2 linked regions of the Ovis aries genome follow. The protein of the gene in region 1 interacts with the protein of each later gene in a pairwise test. Links are inferred from orthologs where the notes say so. Each region holds a gene or a part of one and is shown on either strand. Other genes may lie near its edges. The genes, in order: LRP1 and MAPK8IP1.

What was found.
Region 2: the proteins of LRP1 (region 1) and MAPK8IP1 interact in a two-hybrid assay, tested with the Homo sapiens proteins (2 studies listed by BioGRID). The link is inferred for Ovis aries from reciprocal best matches to the Homo sapiens genes LRP1 and MAPK8IP1.

Annotation. Positions count from the first base shown.
Region 1 is NC_056056.1:162,479,711-162,483,508, forward strand, and holds part of LRP1 (prolow-density lipoprotein receptor-related protein 1), read right to left. Parts: intron 1,140-3,798; coding exon 1,017-1,139; intron 1-1,016. UniProt on the Homo sapiens protein: Endocytic receptor involved in endocytosis and in phagocytosis of apoptotic cells. Required for early embryonic development. Involved in cellular lipid homeostasis.
Region 2 is NC_056068.1:74,845,178-74,849,722, reverse strand, and holds the start of MAPK8IP1 (C-Jun-amino-terminal kinase-interacting protein 1), read right to left. Parts: upstream 2,913-4,545; 5' UTR 2,792-2,912; coding exon 2,691-2,791; intron 1-2,690. UniProt on the Homo sapiens protein: The JNK-interacting protein (JIP) group of scaffold proteins selectively mediates JNK signaling by aggregating specific components of the MAPK cascade to form a functional JNK signaling module. Required for JNK activation in response to excitotoxic stress.

The sequences.
Region 1 (3,798 bases):
GAGGGGATATGTATATCTGCATCTAACTAAAGGATGGATAAAAAGAGCCAGATCTGGCCCCTCTGCATGGCTTTCTTGATCTTCAACACCAAACACTGGGGTCCGAAAAGTGGGGCATAAAGGTGGCCTGAGACGAGCAGACACTCCAGGCTGAGCCACCATAGAAACGCTTGTAGAATGTCCCTGGATCCCACACCTCCAGAGCAGGGTATCAAGGTGAGGCAGAGAGAACTAGTGGTTTCCTTTTCTGGCCCTAAAATTACCGCTAATAATTATGAGTGAGGGTGTGGAGATGGGGCTGGGACATGATAAACCCCAACAGAGAACGGAGAAAGACCTAAGAATGCAGGGTCCCCAGACCCCTGCCCAGACTACCCCAGCAAGGGAGAGGCTCTGAAGGCGGAGACTTTGCCAGCTGCCCAGGACTCCAGGGTCCCGCCAGCAAGTTCTCCACCCCCCACTGGCAGGGTAAAGGCTGGGTGGGGACCTTTCTCCCAGTTTAAACAGCTGCCTCTGATTACACCACTTACTGAGGGTAGGGGGAGGGAGGAGGGCGGGAAATGCTCAGGGGTGGGGCTTCTGGTACAGAGATTGAGCCAGAGCCAGTGGCCTTTGGCCTGGGAACCTGAGGACAGGAAGGGGACCCAGCAAGGCCCAGGGGCACCCATCAAGGATCAGGAGGCTCAGAGGTGGGAAGAAGCGGAAGGAGCCAGAAAGAAGGGAGGGGAACCTTCCAGCAAAGCTGTCAGCCCAGAGAATATGGTCTCAGGGAGGCTGGGGTTGGGGGCGGGTACAGCAGCTGAGGAAGCTCATTTTTGAGCATACCAAACACCTGGCCGGGCTCTTTGAAGAGCAGGGGGAGGACAGTTGGACAGTTTTAGCTGTGTCATGTACAAACAATCACAGAGCAAGGTCCACACCAGGCTCAAGCTCAACTGTCTTCATCGTAGACTGCTGGGCCAAAAGGAAAAGGGAAAAATCAGCGATGGGGGTAGGGATTTAGAAAAGGTACTTACAAATCTCGGGAGCCTCGTCAGATCCATCCGGGCAGTCCCTCTCACCATCACACCGCCAGCCTTTTGAGATGCAGGTGATCTGGTCTCTGCAGGCAAATTGCTTGGGGCTGCAAGTCTTAGGGACTAGGGCCAAGGGAAGAAAACAGGGGTGTGAATAGGGGTGGAGGCCGCTCTACAGTCTGAAAGCCCTCAAGGGTTCCTCCTCCTTCTTCAGGCAGTAGCAGTCTCCATCCGGCCCAGGCTCTAACCCAAGCTTCATGTGTGGAGCAGGGGTGGGAGGGAGGGGCTGGGGGTCACTTCTGAACACTGTGTACCTGAGATGGGGGAGGGGAAGGACGCAGGAAGCACACTGCTGCCGCCTGACTGACTCCTGTAGGCTGCCCATTGGGTGTGTGCTCTCCCAGCTCTCAGGACCAAAGCCCTTGTGTTCTCTGATACTCTGGTCAGACCACAGCAGCCTCCACTCTGCTGACTGAGAGTGATGGGGCATTTAGGTTTTTGACAGGTTTTCTCTTTATCTTCTCCATCCCACTAGAGGTCCAGAGCTGGTCTTTACTAACCTCTCTGCTCCTTCACCCTCTGGGACACTCCTGGTCCTTGGAACACATCACCCCACACATCTCCAACTCCTAACCACCAGGCCCTCCCCAGACGGGACGTGTGTTTGGGGTGCCCTTGGCACATGGGTGTCTCAGAGATGGCATCAACAGAGGAGTTCTGCCTCCACATCCATTCTCTAAACAGTCTCCCTTGCGGATGCCCTCAGAGTTAATAGGTACCTAAGACTGCTCAAGCCGACAGGGCTGGAGAGCCGAGGCAGGGGGATGGCTGGGGTGACCTGCAGGAGCTGGTTTCAGACCAGCCAACCCAAGAAGTTCCTATATCCAGGACCTCTTCTTTGCCCTAATCCCTCACCCCACCATCTGCTCTCTACACCCACCCCATTCTCTTACCTCATTCTCCAGGGATGAATTAAACATGGTAACACTAACTCTCATTGTTACCTCAGTATGTGCCGGGAAGTGTGATCAACCAGTTCTTTCCATATATCATCGCATTCAATCCTCTCCACAATATGACAAATTAGGTACGAGTAATACTATTTCCCAGATGAGGAAACCCAGCCTCAGAGGATGTGGGGTCACACAGCAGCCAAATGTCGCAATCAGGACTTAGACCGGTTTAGCCGACTCTAAGCTGTGAAGCAGCCAGTTGACACCAGGCTCCCCATTTCCACTGAGAGGTCTTCAGGCGCTATTCCTCCCAACCCTGTCAGCATGTCCTCCTCGGGAGGGAGGCAAGCCCCACCTCCTTCACTGCTGCCCCCCAGTCTCCCAGCCCTGCATTGCCTCTTCCTCGATCTGCGTCCATCCCGTTTCTCTTCGGCTGTCATGCACCAGAGCCCAGCTCTGTGCCAGGCAGTAAATGAGGCACTGGGGTGCCCAGGAGGGGTGGGGTGGCCCCTCAGGAGCCATGGCGCCCCAGGAAGACCGCAGGGCAGAGTGAGCTCAGGGCTGGGACGGAGCAGAAGAAAGTGTGCCGGGGCTCTGAGCAGGGAGGGATGGGCTCTGAGGAGAGCCACACTGGGAAGACGTCCTCCCCTCAACCCCCGCCTCTGGCAGCGGGGACTGCACTCAGGCCGCCGGCCAGGGTGAGAGCCAAGTTCAGGAAACACATCAAGGATGGCCTGGCTAGGCCCCCCACCCTGGAGCCCCCTCCCCTGCCCCCCCACCCTGAGCAGGGAATAAAGGCCCCTTGAGGAGGCGGATAATGCTGAGTTCATTGCCCCACTGGGCCAGCTGTGAGGTCTTCCCGGGAAACTGCTAGGCAGCCTAGTTAGCATGCCGGAGAACGGTCCTCTTCCCCTGGCTGGCCGAGATGGGCTGGGGTTGGCGGGGGAGAGCGGTGGTAGAGGGGGCTGGAATGGGATTCAGAGGCAGATGGGCTGTTTGGAGCCCAGACAGGTCCCCATGCCCATCCCTGCCCCCACCTGGATTTAGCAGTCCATGCCCCCACTCCTCGCCGGGTAGAACTCACAGCCCAGGCCCGAGGTCACTGGTTGGTCACTCCAATCTCCCCTCTATTCCACATCCCAGCCACGATCCCCCCCTGCTTTGGCCCTCACTTTCTCACTTTGTCCCCTTGCTGTCCCCCACCCCCATTTTTGGCCTGAGCTCGACAGAGGAAACAGCAGCTGGCAAACTCCAAAAGCTGGAATGAGAGAGATTCACAAACCAGATGTGCTTTTGCGAGGGAGGGGAGTGGGGGATGGGGAGTGAAAGGAAGAGGAGCCCCTGAGGCCCTGGCCCACAGCAGACCCCTCCGGCCGGGGCGGGTGACTGGGCGCACACCAGGGCAGCACAAGGACCTAAGAGATGCAGGAAGCACTTCCTTTCTGTCAGGGATGGTGGAGAAAAGACCTGAGTTTGAAGGCTAAGGCCTGTCTTTGATTTCCTTCTTAGGGAAAGGGGAGGAAAGGAACAAATAACCTACTTTGGGGCAGTCTACACGGGCCAAGGGAAGCCTCATTTGGAGGTGGAGGGTGTTGCAGTGGGGGTGGGGTCGGAAACCTGTAATCTGCTTAGAGCCCGCAGCCAACCCCACTCCCCTCAGCTGCGCCTTCTGCGTCTGATGCCAGCACCCAGAAAACCCAGCTAGGTGGCCCCAGATGAGGGAACAACATGGCCCTACATTAGGGAGCAACTAGTGGCCTCCCCTGGCTCCCACCCCTTGGGAGATCTGGGGGTTCCTAAGGATATGAGCTAACACTTTTCAACATGGT
Region 2 (4,545 bases), on another chromosome or scaffold:
ACTCTCACCAAATAAATGCTCGCCCTCCTCAGAGCCACACCTGTGTCCCCCTCCCCAAACTCTCCATCGTTATCCCTCTGGGCCCTCTCTTTCTGGGGTGGCTGTGAACTTGACCTCTGCCACTTATCCAACCTCTTCCCGTCTCAGTTTCTTCATCTGCAAAGTGGGGATAACGACAAGATTCTGTCTGTGTGGTTCTGGGCAGGACGAGGCGCCCTTGCACAGAAAGTGCTTAGAACGGCGCCTGGGCAGAGCAAAGGCCTCCCAAGTGGCAGGGTTTCCAGCGTTCTTCTCTGAACTCTCCAGTTGCATCCCCGGTTAAATAGTAAAGCACTGCACACCTACTCTGTGCCGGGCTTCAGGCAAACCAAAGTTTAGGTATTGACGTCTTGTGCCTTCTGGAAGTGGACAGTGGTGCTGGGTCACACGCACACACGCACGCATGCACATACACGTGCACACACACACACACAATAATACCCACAGGAATAGCCCGACATGAATACAGCTCTTCACAGCCCTTGAAACACTCAACATGTATTGTTTCATCCAAGTATTAGGGCCGCCCTGAGCAAGGGCCAAAGTAGGCATCATGGAGAAAAAACCAGCCCAAGGCATTCGGCACCCACTCTGAGCATGCGGCTAAAGGGACGGAGCCAGGATTCAAAGCCAGGCCAGAGCCACAGGGGCGCAGTCCCACCCGGGCTCCATCAGCCGAGCTCAGAACTGTGAGAGGCGGCCAGGGAAAGGGCAGCGGGGGCTGCTGGAGCCGGCAGGGCAGGCCTCGGGGCCAGAGACACTGGCCTTACTGTTCACATCTCCACAGCCAGGCCATGGTGTCCCGGAGGGCCAACCCACACTCAGCCTTGGCACAGTGCCACCCTGGCCCACCGGGCCCAGGGCTGGGCACACTCACTGGCGGGCCCTCCTTATCAGTCGCTGTCCCTCAGGAGTCCAGGATAACCTGCCCGCCGGGGGCAGCAGGGACGGAAAGCCCTCTCACCTGCGGAGGGGAAAGCAGGTGGGGAGGCCAAGCTGTCCTCCGGGTCAGGCTGGGCCTGAAGGTAGAGTGGACTGAACACGCAGCCTCAGGCCCTGACTCCCCTCGGGGAAGCCACCCGCCTTCCTGAACCTCAGTCTTCTCATCTACAAAATGGGCAGGCCCATCCTGACGCCCAGAGTGGTGGGGAGGGAGACCTCAGCCAGCCCCGGGAACATGCCCCGAGCAGGAATGAGCCGCCTCAGCGCCCGCCGGTGTGGAGGGTGATGCTTGTTGAGTGCCAGCGTGATGCACCTGAAGGAATCAATATGAATTAGCTCATCAACAGATGAGACTGAGGAAAGCCCAAAGAGCTGCCCAGGTCAGGCAGCTAGAAAGTTGGTGGAGCCAGGATTCGCATCCACGTCTGTCTCAGGGCTGTGCTCAGCCACCACAGAGGGGCCTCCTGGAAGGAGGGCAGCGCTGGTGGGAAGGCAGCGCAGTTCACCTCCGGTGGAGTGAGTCTCAGACCTCGGCCTCCTTACTCTGAGGCTCGAACCACAAAGCCCCCAGCCCTGGAGCCCGGCCTTCTCCATCTGGTCTTTGGCAGCTCAGCTCCGGGCCTTCTGGGAGATTTCCAGTCCTAAAGATGATGCCGTTAGCGATCCCTGGAGGCCCCTGCCCACCTGAGGGCCGGGGAGCCAGAAACCCCTTGGTCAAGAAGAGGGGCTGGCGCCAGAGCCCAGCTGGGGCCCGGCGCGGGTGCAGGCCCCAGGAGAGGGGCAGACACCAGCTCATTACATGGAGGAACAATGGGGAATGGAGGCCTCTTTCTGGGGGCTCGGGAGCGGTAACCCCTCCTCCTCTTCCTCTCCAACCCGCCAGGATGAGGACGGAGGGACGTCCATCCCAACCCCCACAACACCCACTGCCACCTCTCTGAAATCCACCTCCCAGTTGCCTAAGGCCAGACTAGGGGCATGGAGAGAGCTGAAGCAGGAGCTCAGATCAGGATCCAGGGTACTCACCCCAGCAGGAACCACCCCACCAATAACCGTGGCTACTCCCGCGGGCTCCAACCCAGACTCCCCCTCCCACAGCCGGGCCTCGATCTCGCGGGTTGAGGCTGAGCCTTCGTTCGGCACCTACACGCATCTGACCAGGTCAGTGCTTGTCCCAATGCACAGAAGGTCCTGGCCACGCCAGGCCTGGGAGTTGGGCCCCTCTGGCCAGGCAGGGCTGGGGGAGGGGCCTGCGACTCTCTCTAGCACCAAGGCTGTCGGTCGCCCCAAGAAACTGGGACCCGAGGGGCACCCCAACCTAGTGTCATCCTCTATTCAGGAGCCTTCCGACTGTGCGCAGGCAAAGCCCCAGGCTTCCTGCCTCCTGCGGGACCTCAACGCGGACCCCAGACCCCGCCGCAGCTCCAAAGTCGGAGAGAAGGCGGCCTCCGCGCCCCCTCCTCCAGTTCCAGCTCAGGATCTCCTCGCCTCGGACACGGAATGGCGGAGAGAGCCGCACCGCGGATATGCATCGGCCATGAGTCTAGACTTGAGGCTGACGAGGATTCGGGAAGAGACCCCATCCCCACGCCGCCCTCTCGTTCTGCGGTTTCCCATGAGTGCGTGTTGCGAGGCGGGTGCGGGGTGGGGGGAGCCCGGGCAGATCGATTTAGGTTGAAGGGTGGGGCGCGGCGGCCGGAGAGCCTCACCTGAAATTGGGCGGCGACGCGATGTGCAGCCCCAGGAACGGGGAGGCGGCAGGCGGGGACGCAGCCCCCCCGCCCAGGCCGCCGCTCTCTCGCTCCGCCATTCTCCCGCACAGCCCTGGCCATCCGGGCGGAGCGCGGCGCGGAGGCGGCGGCGGCGGCGGCGGCGGGGAAGGAGGCGCGGGCGCGGCGAGAGGCCGCCGCCGCGGGGATCGGCTGGGGACTGCGCGGCGGGCGCACCTGCGCAGGGCAGGGCGCGGCTCCAGACCGCGCGCCGCTCTCGGGACTGGCGCGAGCGCCTCCGAGCGCGCTCCCGGGTCCTCGGCCAGGCTTGGGTATGCCCCGCCCCGCCCCGCCCCTTACCCGGGAGCCCCGCCCCTGCTGCGCTCTCCAAGGTGCTGAAGTCGCAGCCCCGCGGTCCCCGAGTTTGGCTCCGCCCCGCCCTCAATCCCACGCAGTAATAACAGCCTCCCCTTCCGCAAAGCCCTCTGTGTCCCTGCGGGCTCTCTTCCTGGGGTGGGCCTAGCGTCCGGGTATGCAGTAACTAATGGCGGGATCTTGGTCCCTGGGACCCGAGTTGACCCCCTCGCTGCAGACAAAGAAGGCAGTCAGGAAAGGAGAGTCGTGGAGGAAGGCAGAGAAACACTAGCGGGTGTTGGATGCTGGCTCCTAGGACCGACAGATTTTTGGAGTGAGGTAGGGTGAAGTCACAGCCCGGCTCTCCTAGTAGAATAGGTGGTGTGACTTCACATTAGTTACAACAGTCCTAAGGCTTGATTTTTTTCTCATCTGTGAAATGGGGATGATAATGGTCCATCTCATGGTCGTGAGGATGAAATATAATACAAATGTTGGCACTGGAGGCTGGGAACACCCCACCTCCAGCTGGGAACCAGGGCTCACCCCTTGAGGGGACTCCCCCCCCCCACTCCACCCAAGGACTCTGCCGAGGGTCTCCTCTCTAAAGAGTGATTTAAGCCCCTTTCAGCCCCAAACACTTCTAATGGTGAATTGAGCCTTTCCTTTTGGCTTCTCTCAGCTTCTCCTCCCTCATGTCAGGACTTTGACGTCACCTTCTCCTCACTTAGCACCTCAATTGTATTTCCTGCAGAGCACCCCCTTTTGCACTCAGACACCCCATAGCAGGCTTCTCACATTCTAAGACTTGGGGCCTTTCCTCCTGCCCCTACAGTTGACTTCTAGGGATTCTTTTGATGGTTTTTCGGCTCCCTCCAGTGCCTCTGCCCTGCAACTCCGGGTCATGGTTCCTCCTGGACTTCTCTCCCCTAAGAGGATTAAGCCTGTGTGTTCTCTCACAGCACATGGACTTCTGGGCACTCAGGCTGCTGGGCACAGCAAGGTCCCCAGCTCTGGTGGGTCATAGAGCCTCTGCCAAATCTCACTGGCTTGTATGGCTAGTTGAGAGAGCCGCAGAGGTCCTGTCCTTCTGAAAAGGCACTGTTTCACAGCTGTGGAAGCCTATGTGCAAATCTAGACTGCCCACTGGTTGCGCCTACAGCGTAGTGCCCAGAAAGGAGCAGTGGGCACCTGCCCTGCAGCCAACAAGCCCTGAGCTCCACTTCTGAGGTTAATACCTAGAGCTGAAGGCCTTTGCTACTTCTCTTCTCCGTGTTCCTGGGCCCAGAGGGGACACATAATCTTTCCTGTCTTGGTTCAGGCTCCTTTCACTAGGACCAAAAGGTAACCGCTTGCTGCTATGGTGCTGACTTTTCCTCCCAGGAAAGCAGTTTTGCCACAGTGGCTAATAATTTTTCCTTAGTGTCTGTGCTTCTCTACTAGGGAGCACCCTTAGGTCAGGAATGTGTGCGCGTGTAGGACAACTCCACCTTCCAGAATC